4 linked regions of the Caenorhabditis elegans genome follow. The protein of the gene in region 4 interacts with the protein of the main gene of each other region in a pairwise test. Each region holds a gene or a part of one and is shown on either strand. Other genes may lie near its edges. The genes, in order: nhr-41, rtfo-1, his-72 and rnh-1.3.

The links.
Region 1: the proteins of rnh-1.3 (region 4) and nhr-41 interact in a two-hybrid assay, tested with the Caenorhabditis elegans proteins (one large-scale study listed by BioGRID).
Region 2: the proteins of rnh-1.3 (region 4) and rtfo-1 interact in a two-hybrid assay, tested with the Caenorhabditis elegans proteins (one large-scale study listed by BioGRID).
Region 3: the proteins of rnh-1.3 (region 4) and his-72 interact in a two-hybrid assay, tested with the Caenorhabditis elegans proteins (one large-scale study listed by BioGRID).

The regions. Positions count from the first base shown.
Region 1 is NC_003282.8:1,384,533-1,389,226, reverse strand, and holds the start of nhr-41 (Nuclear Hormone Receptor family), read right to left. Parts: upstream 3,013-4,694; 5' UTR 2,939-3,012; coding exon 2,936-2,938; intron 1,385-2,935; coding exon 1,267-1,384; intron 1,214-1,266; coding exon 1,077-1,213; intron 1,012-1,076; exon of another isoform or gene 940-1,011; intron 620-939; coding exon 524-619; intron 1-523.
Region 2 is NC_003283.11:9,579,509-9,584,409, reverse strand, and holds rtfo-1 (RNA polymerase-associated protein RTF1 homolog), read left to right. Parts: upstream 1-1,765; 5' UTR 1,766-1,782; coding exon 1,783-1,937; intron 1,938-1,991; coding exon 1,992-2,358; intron 2,359-2,402; coding exon 2,403-2,871; intron 2,872-2,926; coding exon 2,927-3,493; intron 3,494-3,543; coding exon 3,544-3,736; intron 3,737-3,781; coding exon 3,782-3,872; 3' UTR 3,873-4,369; downstream 4,370-4,901. Other genes in the region: F25B3.2 (CTCK domain-containing protein), read right to left, coding at 4,464-4,535, 4,595-4,689. UniProt on the Caenorhabditis elegans protein: Component of the PAF1 complex which is a multifunctional complex involved in transcription initiation via genetic interactions with TATA-binding proteins, elongation and transcription-coupled histone modification.
Region 3 is NC_003281.10:12,367,108-12,370,902, reverse strand, and holds his-72 (Histone H3.3 type 2), read left to right. Parts: upstream 1-1,852; coding exon 1,853-1,859; intron 1,860-2,358; exon of another isoform or gene 2,359-2,584; intron 2,585-2,738; coding exon 2,739-3,027; intron 3,028-3,086; coding exon 3,087-3,246; downstream 3,247-3,795. Other genes in the region: rpt-6 (26S proteasome regulatory subunit 8), read right to left, coding at 1-264, 317-442; Y75B8A.33 (DUF221-domain-containing protein), read left to right, coding at 3,530-3,581. UniProt on the Caenorhabditis elegans protein: Variant histone H3 which replaces conventional H3 in a wide range of nucleosomes in active genes. Constitutes the predominant form of histone H3 in non-dividing cells and is incorporated into chromatin independently of DNA synthesis.
Region 4 is NC_003279.8:9,709,550-9,712,419, reverse strand, and holds rnh-1.3 (RNase H type-1 domain-containing protein), read left to right. Parts: upstream 1-1,674; 5' UTR 1,675-1,676; coding exon 1,677-1,764; intron 1,765-1,812; coding exon 1,813-1,904; intron 1,905-1,951; coding exon 1,952-2,140; intron 2,141-2,209; coding exon 2,210-2,260; 3' UTR 2,261-2,332; downstream 2,333-2,870. Other genes in the region: fce-1 (CAAX prenyl protease 1 homolog), read left to right, coding at 25-745, 792-859, 905-1,213.

The sequences.
Region 1 (4,694 bases), on a different chromosome or scaffold from region 4:
GAAAGTGGGCGGAGCTACAATTCGACCGGTGATCAAAACCTGTTTTTAGAGAGAGCGCGCGCGCTCGCGACACTGTCCTTGTAGTCCAAACTTTTGGAAAAAAGGGTATTGGAATATTAGGTATACGCAGAAAATTTAGTAAATGATTTGAAAAACTCCAAGTCCTAACCTAAAATTGTTTTAATTCTAGTTAAAATTTTGTGTTTTTTTAGGTTGAGGCATTGATTTTCATTGTTTTTCATGTCGAAATTCGGATTCTGCGTGCAATTTCCGTTAATTTGACCCCCATAATGACCGGATTCTAATTATTTTAAAATTTTTGAAAATGGATCGAAGTGGCGCAACTGGGTAGAGGTTGGGCTGTAGCGCACAAGACCGGGGTTCGAGCCCAAGTAAGGGAAAATGTTTTTCTCAAGGTTTGTTTGGATAGTTAAAGTGTGTTAAAATAAAAAGGAATCCTAGAAAATCGGAAAAATTGGAAAATTTTTTTGAAAAAAAGTTCTTTGAGCAACATTTTTTTTACCTGAACATTTCGAAGGGCATTTAGCTGTTGAATGATATTTGGCATCATTGGTGGACCGACAACTGACGGGTGTCCTAACAATGGGTTTCTGGTAGCCTGGAAATTCAAAAATTTAAGGGAGAATTTAACAAAAAAAAAACAAATTTTGGGGCAAAAGTTAAAAAATATTTTTGAAAACGAGATCAAACCTTTCATGATATTTTTTTGAGGGAAAAAAAAGGTTATCGAATGACCTTCCACACACATAGACACATAGTAATTTTTCATTAGGGTCGAGAATTTGAGAGATATTTCGTTTTTTTTTCGAAAAAAATTGGACATTCTTTTTGCCCCCGCCATATAACTTTTTCCGCTACAGTCAGCAGGCCCCTCCCGCACACTCTTCTCTAGGCACTCGAGACCTCCTCGTTTCGTCCTCCCATGTGGTCTAGTGGTTAGGATTCGTGGTTTTCACCCACGCGGCCCGGGTTCGATTCCCGGCATGGGAAGTTTATTTTTTTATTTTTGCACTGCCAGTTTTGCCGAATTCTCATTTTTGCAGAAAATAGTTTACCTGCATCATTGCCATCAACTGTGGGTTGCTGAATACGTTTAGTTGAGCCGCCATTATTGCCGGATTGAACAAATTCGGCTGAATACCAGGGATTGGTGTGTTCGCATGCTGTGGGGGTTGGAAAGCTGTTGGGGTGCCTGAACATATTTATATTTATTTTTTATTCGAAAAAAATTAATTAGAATATTACCTGGCGTTGAGGGAATTAGGTGAGATTCTTGTTTGATAGCGGTCGGAGCAATTAGGCTCCGTGAGAAATCGATGGGTGGAGGTGGGGGTTGCTCGACGGAGCAAGGGTCACCCAGCGTCTGGAATAAGAAAATTATAATTTTTCATAAACTTTCCAGTTAATTAGCCTGTTTAAGACAATTTTTCCAAACTTTAAATTCAGAGAATTTTTTTAAAAGATATTCATTGTCAAATTCGAATTCTCCATGAAATTTCCGTTAAGTTGACACCCATATTGACCAATTTACAAAAATTTTGAAATTTTTAGAAAAGTCAAAAAATTGGGTCCCAGTGGCTCAGCTGGTCAGAGGTTAGGCTGAGTCAGAAGGTCGAGGGTTCGAGCCCAGTTGTGGTTTTTATTTTTTACTATAACTGTTTTGATGGTTGAAACAGTTTTAGAGTGACAGGAATTTCATTTTAGAATTTTTTTTTCGTAAATCTTTTTTTAACTCCCATAATTTAGACTTTTACATGTTATTTTGTACAAGAAATCAAAATAAAAAGAAAATCCCTCCTACCGGACTAGAACCCCGGTCTTCTGCGTCATAGTCTAGACCAACAGATACCCGACTGAGCCACCGAGACCAAATTTAACTTATCGGAAATAGGGCAATATGGGGGTAAATTAACGGATTTTAGAGATTTTAGACGGAAGATTCGAATGTTTTAATAAAATAATTGAAAAATTGAAAAATTAGCCTTTAAAAATTTTTTAAACAATTGTCCCGAAAAAAAGTTTTTTTCAGAAATTGTTTTGTATTGTGCGGTAAATTGGTGTAGAATTTAACGTTGAATACATTTTAATTGAAATATTGGTACTTGTGTATTACATGCCCTCATTTTTATAGTAATTTTTTAAGTTGTGCAAAATAAAAACGTGAACCACACTTTTGGATTTTTAGGCTTAGGAAATAAAATTTCCTAACTAGGGAACCGTCAGAAGGTGCCCATCGGACTTGCATATGAAACCTGTGCCATTCGATAGCTGCGAATCTCCAGAACCAAGCTCACGGCGAGCTCTCAAATATCCTAAAATAGCACTGTAACGAAGCACTTTACGATCAAAACAAGCAATTTTCCTTATTCACTTTGGTAGCTCATATCTCTGCGGATAAATTTTTCAAAGAAAAGTCATCAACTGATAAATTGTTGAACTTTTTGTAAAGAACAAGTTTGTAGTTAAAAGTTTTTACCAAAAGTTTTTTGTTTTAGATAAAAGCATTAAAATCGCAATAGCAGCAGTTGCCGCACTTCATGCGCTTCTATCTGAAACAACAATTTTTTTGACAAAAACTTTCAACTACAAACTTGTTCTTTACAAAAATATCAACAACATATTAGTTGATGACTTTTCGGTAAAAAATTTATCCGCTGAGATATGAGCTACCAAAGTAAATTTGGAAAATTGGCCCTTCACTACTTCGTTAAAGTGCTATTTTCAGGATCTTTGAGAGCTCGCCGTGAGCTTGGTTTTGGAGATTCGCAGCTAAAAATTCACGAGTAACCGTTTAATTTAATTTAAAAATGAGGACATGTAATACACAAGTACCGAAATATTTTCGATTTGAGTGCTAGTTCTTCAGTAAAACCTAAAAAATGTACAAAAATGAACGTTTCCTCAGAAAACTCACCATATTAATCCAAGTTTGATGGGATGCTGAAGCTTGACTCTCAGCAAATATTAGCCCAGTTGATGACGTGGAATTTTCTAGAATAAGGGGACGATGTGGGTGATCAGAGCACTTTGGCAAAGTGTACATGAGTATACAGAAACAAGAGAGAATAATATAGTAGTACAGTGAGAGGTGTTTCAGACCGTTATTCCTGGAGACTCTCCCCCTTATCACCGCGCCGCCGGTCAGTCAGCCGCTGCTGACCAACTGGAAATATGTTTCAAGCGGTGTGGCGCGCGGCGTGGGAAATAGTGCGCGAAACCGGGAGAGTGCACACAGAGGTGAGTGACCGTGGGGGGCATTGTATGCTAATAGCAACGCGGAACGAATTTTGGGGGCGGGGGGAACTGTACTATGTGTTGCGGTTTTGGTATAACAAAGTTGCAAAAAAAAAGGTCACAACTTTTGAGGAAAACGAACATTTAAGTCTTTAGCATTTGGGTTTAAACGTTTTAAACCTAAAAATTCGAATTTTACAAAAAATTTCCGTCAATATGACCCCCATATTGACCTATTTCGGTAGTTTTTAAATTGTCAAAAATTTCGGAAAATGGGGCGAAGTGGCTCAATCGGGTAGAGGCTGGGTTATGGTGCAGAAGGTCAGGGGTTCGAGTCCCAGCTTGGTCATAAGTTTTTGTTGCAATTTTTTGAGTGACAAAAATACAAAATTTCGAGCTAGAAACTAGTTTTCAACACTTTCCATGTGTCGAGTAATTTTCGTTGAAAAAATTAAATTTTAGTAAATTAAACGTCAAATTCGAATTCTCCATTAAATTTCAACGTGACTCCCATATTGGCCTAATTAAGATAATTTTGAAATTTTTTAGAAATTTCGTGAAAATGTGTGCTGAACTGGGTACATGTTAGGCTATGGCGCAGAAGGTCAAGGGCTCGACCCCAACGTGCACCAGAACATTTTTGCACAGCTTAATTTAACATAGTTTCCCCTGTTTTAAAGTAATTTTGACATTACACACATTTTTTTCATTATTTTGGAAAAAATTTACAAAAATGTAACTCTCACAAATTTTGTCAAAAAAGTTACACTGATGGAGTAAAATTTTTTTCATCAAAATATGGAAAGTATAGAAAATCCTTGAAAAATCCCCAAAAATCATATCCCCCGCTACCGGGGGATAATCGGTGTTTAGCGGAGCCGTGAACTCAATCTGTTAAATAATTTTTTTCTTCTGTGCCGGCCGGGGCGGATTTTCTTTTTTCATTTTCATTAAGATAATTTATAGGTGAGCGGCTTTGTTGCTTAAGTATTAGCTGTGAGGATTTGTTGTTAATTTTTTTTTGGAAATTTTTTTCGACAATATTTACCCATTTCATATGATCAAAAATGTACCGGAAAAAAAATTTGGGACCGGCTGGGGTCGAACCCTGGTGTCGAGATTCACAGCCAAACCTGTTAGCCACTGAGCCATCGCGGCGAAAATTGAAAATTTCCGGTTTTTTGGGCCAAAAATTTCACATACAGGGTTCAACCTAGTTTCCAACTCGAGATTCTTTTCTTGTTAGATGGAAAAAGTCTCACAAAAATATTCACCTACAGCGGGGATTGAACCCCTGTCTTCCGCGCGTCAGCCCAACCTCTACCCAGCGAAGCCACCGCGACCTATTTTTCAAACTTATAGGAAATGGCTCAATATGGGGGCCAATTTGACTAGAATTTTGATGAAGAATTCGAGTTTTTATATTAAGAAGTTCTTAG
Region 2 (4,901 bases), on a different chromosome or scaffold from region 4:
ATCATGATGAGTTCTAATAAAGTAGTGAACGTTGCAGGCTCATAGCCATTTCAAATATTCAAATTTTCAATATTCATTCAGAATGCGTGATGAGAGGTACGTCGTCACGCAATACAATTGCCGGTTTTGTGAGAAGGAAGAGAGATCGATTAGAATGAAAGTGATATAGAGAGGAGAAACCACTTGGCTGGATAAACATGTACTTGATGGTTAGAACTGTCGGAAAAGCAAAATGGATTGTGTTCGAGAAAATATGAACATTTGGAAAGTTTTGAGTTCTGAAGCTTTAAAAGAATAATAAGATAAAATACGTTCACAAAGTCTTTTGAAATTTTATACGGGCAACTCGGACTGAAAAAGTTAGACAATCAATGTGAAATCGGGTTTTTTACAGAAAGTCTCTATATTTAGCGTTAAATTAAAATTGAATGTTACTAATGTGAACATTTGTTGAATTGGACATCAAGATTTTGTTTCGCAATTATTTACCGTAATCTTGAAGGCGCATATACAAATATATAGAGGGCCGTAAATTGATACGAGCTACAGTAACTCGTTGTCCGAGTGGCGAGACCCCTGCGAGTAAAGTATAACCAACATTAAAATATCTAAACGTCTGCGTTATACGGAATTTTTTATGTATTAAACACAAATGAGTCTCTCTTAAAAACTCGTAGAAAGAAAACATGCAGTATTTCAATAATCAGATAACTTACCAAAATTAAACTCTGCCTCAGCTGCTCCTCCATTGTGTCGATGGGATTCGAACCGCAAATTCTTCATTTTCTTCGAAAACTTCGCTTACTACTTCTACTAATTGTCGAATGGCAACAGGAAACACGAAAAGAAAGATTATCCTTTATTTCTGATTCTCTGTATCTCCAGGTCTACCTAAACACTTTAATAGAACAACTGTTCACTAAAGAGCATTTGATCTTTCTTTTTTCGTTTTTTCTTCTCTTACATCGTTTAACCTGGAAAAGGGGTTGTATTTCCGTAAGCCATCTACCCTTGTCTCTTCTTATGTTTTTTTCTTGATTAATGGTTTTTGAGAATACTGTGAGAGCATAAGAGATTTGAAAAACCTATAAGAACACTTCGGATTCCCACAGGATGGGCACTAAAGAATTAGTTTTTCTAAACTTCAGAAAATGGGAGTGTCTCTCAATTTCCTTATCGATTATAAAAGTGTTTGGTATTTATATATAAATCCATTAAATATACATAGCTTGCACCATGACCTACAGCAACAGAAGCCAATATCCCAATTGTGTGCGACAACCTTGCAAAATAGCGTGCGCGGCTTGCAAAGTGGGCGGGACTAAATGTATTGACACTGTGCAGTTTGAATGTAAAAATTTATTCTTAATTTTCGGTATTTTCTTTGGTTTTTCGTTATTATAATTGATTTTTAATGATTCTTTATTATTATCTTAATTCAAAGAGTAGAAAAACTTTATTGCACCCGTCCTTTTTGTTTCTCGAATCCAATATTGACACATTTTTTGAGAAACTTAAGTTTTTTCTTAATTTTTCGAATATTTTCGACAAAAACGCGCATATATCATTAAAAATATGACACTTTTCCTTGTTTCTTTTATTTGTTTAAATATTTGTATGAAACCTATTGTTCGTAGCCATCTTGCAACTGTGTGTCGATATCGATTTTCCCAGAACAAATGTCAGACGCTCTACATCACTTTTATACAACCGTTTCTTCTCACCGTTCTCTAATAATTTATTCAATTCATAATTATGTTCTCAGGGTCAGTTTAATCAACAATGTCTTCCTCTGAGAGTGCTTCATCAGACGAAGAGACAAAACGCCGTGCTCCAGCCACTTCAGATTCCGATTCTGACTCAGACGCAGGTCCAAAACCTGGAAAACCTCTCAGTACCGACTCCTCGGCATCCGATTCAGATGCCGAAAAACCACAGTGAGTTTTACTGTTTTCTATCCAAAAAAAAGTTATACGAGTTTCCATTTTCAGGGCAAAGCCTGCAAAAAAGAAGACTTTAACAAAGCGAAAGCGGCGAGCTACTGGAAGTAGTGACGATGACCAAGTAGATGATGATTTATTTGCTGACAAAGAAGACAAAGCAAGATGGAAGAAATTGACAGAATTGGAAAAGGAGCAAGAAATTTTTGAAAGGATGGAGGCTCGTGAAAACGCGATTGCTCGAGAAGAAATTGCTCAACAACTTGCTAAAAAAGCAAAGAAAAGTTCTGAAAAGGGAGTCAAAACCGAAAAACGAAGGAAAATGAACAGTGGTGGAAGTGATGCAGGTTCCCCGAAACGCAAAGCTTCATCGGATTCCGATTCTGAGATGGATGCTGCTTTCCACCGACCCAGTGATGTAAGTTTATTTTTTTATTTTTCAAATAAAAATTTTTATTCCAGATTAACCGCAAACATAAAGAGAAGAATGCTATGGATGCTCTGAAGAACAAACGTAAAGAGATCGAAAAGAAAAATGCAAAAAACGAAGCACTCTCTATCGATGCTGTTTTTGGAGCTAATTCGGGATCTTCAAGTTCGTCTAGTTCAAGCGAAAGCTCTCGTTCATCATCTTCTTCCCGCGAATCATCACCAGAACGTGTATCCGAAAAAGATAAGATAGTAAAGAAAGATGTTGATGGACTTTCGGAACTTCGAAGAGCTCGATTGTCCCGTCATAAACTTTCATTGATGATTCATGCCCCATTCTTTGATTCTACTGTCGTAGGATGCTATGTTCGACTTGGACAAGGGCAAATGAGTGGCTCAGGAAGCAAATATCGGATATGGAAGATTGTCGGTGTGGAGGAATCCAACAAAGTCTACGAATTGGAAGGAAAAAAGACAAATAAAATCATAAAATGTCAGAATGGTGAGTTGTTTATTTACTTGTGAAAATTTGAAATCTGTTACAACCTTAACTGCAGGTGGATCAGAACGACCATTCCGTATGCAATTCGTTTCAAATGCTGATTTCGAACAAATTGAGTTTGATGAATGGCTTCTGGCATGTAAGAGACACGGAAATCTTCCAACCGTCGATATTATGGATAAGAAAAAACAAGATATCGAAAAAGCAATCAACCACAAGTATTCGGACAAAGAAGTCGATCTGATGATCAAGGAAAAGAGCAAATATCAAACAGTTCCACGAAATTTCGCTATGACAAAAGCTAATTGGTCCAAGCAAAAAGAGCTGGCTCAACAACGAGGTGACATTCGAGAAGCCGAACAAATTCAAACTAAAATCGATGAGATTGAACGACAAGCTGATGAATTGGAGAAAGAGCGAAGCAAGTCAATTAGTGCGATTGCGTTCATTAACCATAGGAATCGATCAAAAATAAAGGACCAAGTCCTGAGTGGGCAATTGAAGATCGAAGAGAATTCACAGGATGATCCTTTTACACGTAAGAAGGGAGGTATGCGTGTTGTTTCTGGATCTAAATCAAGACTTGACGGAACTCTTTCCGCATCTTCATCAACCACAAATTGTAAGTTAATAGGAAATATCAATTTTTTGACATAACTTTATAATTTTCAGTATCTGACGGCGGAAAAGACAAAAGTTCATCATTGGCTAAACCGACGCAACCTCCTCCATCTACTCAAATAAAGAAAAAAACTGATATATCCAGTCTGCATGACTTTGATCTAGACATCGATTTGGGTAAATTGAAGGATTTTAGTACGCCGGAATCGTCAGGAAACAAACGTCCATCAATTAGTTCTTCCAAGTTAGCACATCTTATAGTGGACTATTTTAATTGCTATATTTTCAGAGGAGTGTCACTTAGTGATTATCGAATGCGTCGATCAGGAGGTGGTGACGCTGGATCCTCCACATCAGCTGCACCATCCTCAGCAGTTTGAACTGTCTTTTTCTACATCTCTTTGATTTTCTCAGCGTTACCCCCCTCATCCCTCATCGTTACGTTTTACTTATTTTCTTTCGTTTTATAAACTGATCAAAACTTGTTCAATTCCTTCATTATACTATTCCGTTCATTTTTTCCAATTTTTGAGAACACATTTTTTTAGCTTTTAATTTCGTCAGAATAAAATAAATCGTAATAAAGATAGCAATTGCAGAATGCAAGAAATGGAACATTTTATGAATCCTTCACCGTTTGTTTTAGATCTTTCCCACTCACTGATACTCCTCACCAATCCCAAACCTTTAATTTTAAATTTTCTATGTGATTCTATTGATTTTCACCCTCATTCATCTTTTCATGTTTTATTCCTTTTTTGATTCCTTGTGACTACTGTATTCCTAGGTTAACGGATGTAAACCAAAAATCTGTGTGAATTTTTTGAAACTTTTCTAATAATTTTTCGTGCAATTAATGAATAAACTCAAAGTTCTTTTCACGTTTTTATTCCATCTTTCAGGATTAGAAACCCGGTATACAGAAATGGTTTGGAATGTGAACGAAGAATTGTAATTTAACATCTTAAGCGCTACAGCTCTTTACTCGGCTTGGCTCGAAGAAATGAGCTTTTGCTCAGTGAGCATTGACAGGCAACAGGGAGCTGGAAAGGAAGGGATTAGATTATTTCGAGATTAATACAATAAGAGAAATAAGACAAACCTGGATTTGTTCAACAATCCAATCCTCACAATTATCATCCCCTGTGTTTCGTAGAACTTTGAATGAGAGGGTCTGAATGCCACATTGACCATGAGCTGGAAATATATTTCAATCACAAATTACATGTAATCAACGGACCCCTCAGTTGAAAAACGTAGAACGCTCTCATTACGTAAACGTCCAAATTGATCATTTTCGCCATACAATACGTACATGGGTCTCGCCACGCAGACATTGACATACAGTAGCTCGTGTCGATTTACGGGGCCTACATTGTCTCATGTTTTAAATATTAGACGAACAATTG
Region 3 (3,795 bases), on a different chromosome or scaffold from region 4:
GCTGTCGGCTCGGAGTGCAACACGTGCTCCTGTGTTCAGTGAGTTGATATCAATGGATTTATCCACGTCGACGACATATTTTCCTTCTGGATGAACTTTCACAAGAACTTTCTTCTTATCCATGGCTTTGCTCACTTCACCGACGTAACTTCCTTGCTCGTGGAGCTGCTGAAGCTCTTCTTTCAGCATACGAACTTTTGTGTTGAGCTCATTACGCTGAGCTTGCAGACGACGCACATTTTGTGATTTGTCGGCCACTTTTTGCTGAAATACTTGATAAACCCTTGGGCTAAACTTTTTAAAAAATACAACAAACCTGCGCATCATCGACTTTTGTGCTGAAATATTTGCGAAGAGTTTTCTCATCGGATTCTTCGGTCAATTTTTGAGCCGTTGGCTTAGAAGGGTCAGCTGATGAAGCAGTAGAAGCAGGTGGAGCCATTAACACTGGAAAAAATAAATAATAGCTTTAAATAAGTTGAGACTAATAAAAACTGAAATAACACGACAAGAAACGTGTGGATCTCTCATTTTTCCCTGGAAATTGAATTTTCAAGCCAATTTATCGAAAAAATCGCCTAAAAAAACGAATTCAAACCTTGAAAACTGATAAAAATTGAGAAACTTTAAAAATGATGATATTTCAACCGGAGAACCAATATGGCGTCAATTGTGGCGCCACGTACGCAATGCTGTACACGCCGACGCAAAAATGCACAGTTGTGTTTACGTTAAATTTAAAGAAATATTAGATTGATTTCCTCGTTTTCATGTTAATTTCTTGATGTTTTTCTTCGAAATTTAGAAAATTAAAGATTTTTCGTCCAATTTACTGTTTTTATCTTCAAAATTACCCGCAGAAATTTGTTATAAACCTTTATTTAGATCTGGAAATGCGTTTTTTTCTGAAACTTCCTCAAATCATTTAGAAAATATTAATATTTGAAGAGGAATATTTTTAGAGTATCCAGTATTTCAATTTTCTGTGGAATTGAGAAAAATTACTGTTTCTGTTTTTTTTTTTTTTTGAAATTTCAACTTGAACAGTAATCAGATTTTTTACTATTAGTGCAATTTCTTTGAATATTTTAAATAAAAAATCCTCCTCGATCCCAAGAAACTCCAATTTTTACTATATTTTCTCAAGAAATGCGTTCAAAGTCCGCAATCGCGCGAGAGCAGCGGCGACACTGAAGAGACCGCAGAGAAGCGGCACGCATTTCGGAAATAGTGTGTGTTTGCAAGAGAGTGGCCCCCCGATTAAACTAGCGCGCGTAAAATTTTTGCATTTTGTTGTTTCGTTCCGTCTGGAAAATTCGAATTTCGCAGCATTTTAATTCATATCTCAGCTCATTTCGCATATTTTTTCCTGAAAATTTCCAGTTTGGTCCGTTACCTTATTCCGGTTAATATACTCGAATTTCATAAAAATCTACGGATGAATCGCTAAGTTATCGCTAGAAATGAAATTCTTTAAAAAATTTTGCCCGATTAGTAATTTTTCTGAAAATCCACGTGGATTCAGGATCCTTCGCGACCTGAAGTTTAAAGTTAATTTTCCAGATTTTCAATGAGGATTTTTGAAAGATTTGATATTTCTTGGCATAAGTTTTCCAGCTTTAATCCGGATTTGGTCCAGACCCCACAAAATCGATACGACAAAAGGGGGGAGGAGGCGGAGACTTGGCACAATGCCAAGTCTTTGCTCTCTGTGTCGTCACGTGTCTTCGTGTTGGCTGAGTATCAAACGTTATAGTGTGGACACCAATTTGGCTTCGTACTTCTTACTCGTTCCCGCCCCGCCCCGACACCATTCGAATATATATTGTCAGTTGTTCTGTTTGTCGTCGTGATGAGAGGTGCGTGCGTGTGCGCGCGCGCTCTCCCAACTTTTCGGACCATTTTGCGGGCTTTATACTGCAATTTGGCTCATTTCTTCTCCTTTTTTTTCCACAGGCTTATTTTGTACTCTCGAGTTGACAGCCTTTTTCGGTATAGGTTGGAAGTAGTCCATTAAAGTAGATGTTTCTTAAGAATTTATCGGCTTAGCATCGATTTCGACCTAGTTAGATGCCACGTTTATGCGCGAAGCGGCCGCGTCGCGGCGAGAATTTCAGTGCGGTTTTACGGGATTATCCATTAAAATCAGGAAAATCAGCAGAAAACTTCTTAACAAAACTAATTTTTTTAGAAAAGAATTTAGAAATACGTAGTCTTGAATAATTCAGCAACTTTTTCAAATTTTATGAGAATTTCGCAATTTCCTACACCTCCTATTTCATCATCACTTCCGAAATCCTACGTTATCGATCGAACACGCGACGCGACCGCAGCGCACCTACTAAGCGCGCGCATTTCGACCGTGACGCGACCGCAACGCGGTGGTGTCAGGGTGCGCGCGCTTTTTCAATCATATGTGGTGCGGTCGATTCCTTCATTCATCCTTCTGTATGCAGCTGCTCATCAGTTTATTGAGCATCTGCTGTACCAATTCGTACTTTAAATTAAATATTAAGAGTACATTTTCTGTGTGCTCTGTATATAAATGTCTAGAATAAACTGCAAACAAGAATTCTTGGCTCCATCTTTCCCTGAATCAATATCGATCGATAGTGACACGCGACGCGACCGCAACGCGTAGGGCCATTTCATATTGATTCTTCTTCTACTCTTCCTTCTTCTCCTTCTGCTCTCACATTTCCTCACTATTCCAACCATTCTCAATTCTCAATTTCCAGAACAACAATGGCTCGTACCAAGCAAACCGCTCGTAAATCCACCGGAGGAAAGGCTCCAAGAAAGCAGTTGGCCACCAAGGCCGCCCGCAAATCGGCTCCAACCACCGGAGGAGTCAAGAAGCCACATCGTTACCGTCCAGGAACTGTCGCTCTCCGTGAGATTCGTCGTTACCAGAAGTCGACTGAGCTTCTCATCCGCAAGCTTCCTTTCCAACGTCTCGTTCGTGAGATTGCCCAGGACTTCAAGACTGATCTCCGCTTCCAGTCGGCTGCCATCGGAGCTCTCCAGGTTTGTAGTTTGAATTTGAAATTTAAAAAAAATTAATTAAAATCTTTTTTTTTTTCCAGGAGGCATCTGAAGCATACCTCGTCGGACTCTTCGAGGACACCAACCTGTGCGCCATCCACGCCAAGCGCGTCACCATCATGCCAAAGGACATGCAACTCGCCAGACGCATCCGCGGAGAACGTGCTTAAGCTCCATCACCAATTCTCGAAGCACTTTTAATATTCATTTAATCCAACTTGTACCATAATCCTCGTATTTTTCCATCCCGAAAATTGATTTTTGCGATCGAACCGCCGATCTCATCACCACTTTTCTCTCCGTTCTTTATGTCTTATTTTATTCGTAAATTGCTGAATTTCATGTTGAACTCCAACAAAAAAAAATAAAGTTTCGTGTGCTTCAGTAGTCTAGCAACATCATATGAACGCCTAGCAACTATATTCCACGCCGCCGCAGTTTTGAATTGAATTCACTAAATTCATGCTCTGAATTCACAAAAAAAATGTTTCTTCGAGTCATTGGAAATAGTAAAAAACGCCAGCGACTATTTATCAGTAAGTTTTAAAAGGGTCTCGTCGCGAAATTCACATTAAAAATATTAATTTTCTGTATGTACCTTTAAAATTACTGTAGAAAATCTATCAGATGGGTCTTGGCGCGCAAAACGCAAAAAATAAATTGATTTCATTGCATGCTTTTTCCGCGCCGAGACCCATCTAACCTAAATTTTTCAAAAAGGTGTGCGCCTTTAAAGATTACTGTAGTTTC
Region 4 (2,870 bases):
TTTAAATGAAAAAATAATTTTCAGGCACAATTGATTGGAGGATATTATCCATTCCTTTGGTACGCAACGGCTAGTTATCCATTGCATGTGGCTGTATTTCTCTCAATAAACTCAATAATTGAAACAATCATCGATTTACCTTGGGATCTATATTCCACTTTTATTATCGAAGATGCCCATGGATTCAATAAACAAACTATTGGATTCTATTTCGTTGACAAAATTAAGAAAATGCTCGTCGGATTTGCTCTCACTATGCCAATCGTTTATGGAATTGAATGGATTATTGTCAATGGTGGACCATACTTCTTTGTCTATATTTGGTTATTTGTTTCTGTTGTTGTGCTACTTTTGATGACCATTTATCCAACTTTCATCGCTCCACTCTTCGACAAATATTTCCCATTGCCTGATGGAGATCTCAAGACGAAAATTGAACAATTAGCTGCTTCTCTCAGTTATCCATTAACTGAACTTTACGTTGTCAATGGCTCAAAACGCTCGGCTCACTCCAATGCTTACATGTATGGATTCTGGAAGAACAAGCGCATTGTGCTCTATGATACTTTGCTAAGTGGAGCTGAAAAGGAGAAAGTACATGAATTGTATGTGGCAGCTGGAGAGAAAATCGAAGAAACTGAAAACGACAAAAAGAGAGGAATGAACAACGATGAAGTTGTGGCCGTTCTGGGCCATGAATTGGGTCATTGGGCTTTATGGCACACTTTGATCAATCTTGTCATCAGTAAGTTGATTTAACTGAACTCACAGCAAAACGTAGAATTTTTCAGCTGAAGTCAACTTGTTCTTCTCTTTTGCAGTTTTTGGATACTTTTATAAATGGGAAGCCCTCTATCAAGTAATTATATTTAAACCATTAAATTCTTAAAATTTTAATTTTCAGGGATTCGGCTATCACGATACTCCACCAGTCATTGGCATGATGCTCATCTTCCAATTTGTCCTCGCTCTCTACAATCAACTCGCTAGTATTGGAATGGTTATTCACTCCCGTTCTGCTGAATTTGGAGCTGACGAGTTTGCTGCTAACCTCGGACACGGAGAAAATCTTATTGGAGCTTTGACCAAGCTTGGTGTTGACAATCTGTCGATGCCTATCAATGACTCACTCTACTCATGGTGCACTCACACACATCCTCCAGTTGTTGAAAGAGTAGCTGCTGTTAGAGCCTTCCAGGCAAAGAATAAATAAATTCCCATGTTTTACTACTTGTTTCTTGAATGCCAAAGTATTTTATATAATTTAATTTATGATTGTAATGTGATATTATTGCATTTTTTGAACTTAAATTTCGTTAATATTCTCTATAGTAAATAAATTTTTTTAAACAAAAACTGGAAATACAATTAAATTCCAAGGAAAATTTTAAAACGGAACGAGACTGATCTCTCGGTCTCTCATTCGCACAAACTGTCTCATAGAAGGGTCTCGCCGCGACTCAAATACAGTACCCGCGGAGAACAAAAAAAATGTTTTCTAGAATGTTCGCTTTATTGTTGTTTTGTTTTGTTAATTCCCGGGAATTTCCAGAAGTTTGCTTTCTTCTGCGAAACAATTCATATCATCATTTTGTTTTTATTAAGATCTCCGTTTTCATTCTTCTTTTCTCTCTCGCATGCTTTTTTCCTATCAAATGAACTGAAATTTTAAAGAAATGCCGTACGACTTCTACACCGACGGTTCCGCTCTCGGAAACGGCCAACAAGGCTCCAGAGGAGGCTATGGAGTTCACGTTCCAAGTGGTACGGTTTTTTGTGCAATTAATTGTTCCTTATTTGAACATATTTCAGATACATCGAAGAATGTGAGTGGCTCTTATCCACACGGACCACAAACCAACAATCGATATGAGCTGGAAGCCATCAAGCACGCCACCCAAATGGTAATTTTCAAACATTCGTACCAACATTCAATTTTCTGCATTTTCAGGCTCGTGATGTTCCAGACAGCCACGTGAGAATCCACACTGATTCCAAGAACGCGAAGGATTCTGTCACCAAATGGAATGACAACTGGAAGTCGAATGGCTACAAAACTTCTTCGGGACAAGATGTGAAGAATCAGGATCTCATCAGAGATATCGACCGCAATGTTCAAGCGCTCAAGCATAGTGGAAAGGTAAGATTATAATTATTATATATAATTCATAAAACACCGCTTTTTAATGGAAATAATTAAAAATTACAGACTGTCGAGTTCGAGCATGTCCGCGGACATAGCAATAGAATGTACATTTGAGTACCCAAGCCCTCTATTTTTCCCGCATCTTTCCTTTTTGAATAAAAGCAATAAAGATGAATAGTGGATAAACTTTCTTGGATTGAAGGAATATGCTCCGAAACACTGGGAAAGCTTCTTGAAAATATCAAGAATCGCGAGTACGGTAGCTGATATAGTGTATCTCATTTCAAGTCCTGGTCTCGAAGAGAAGTGATTTTTGCGCCAAAACTACGACATCCGAAAAAAACAAGAAAAATCTATGAAAATTCCGGAGCAACGAAAGTTTGAAACTACAGTACTCGTTAAAGGCGCACACCTCTTTGCCTTGAACAAAAATGTGTCGTGTTGAGACCAGGCACTGTACCGTTGGCGTAAAAATCGCAAAATTTCGGTTAATACGATCTTCAAAAATATTCAAACATTTTTTTTTTAATTGAATGAATGTTTGACAACTTTTGTGAAATCACAGCTCACTCGCTCTATTCAACGTATTTGCTCGCACCCAAACAGTTTGTGTGATCCGAAATGTTTTTTTTATAGAGCAGATTGCTCTTTTCGCAGTGAGCATTGCTTGCATTGCACCGCGAGCAGGCCAAAAACATCAGTCTATTTTCTCTTTTCAAATACA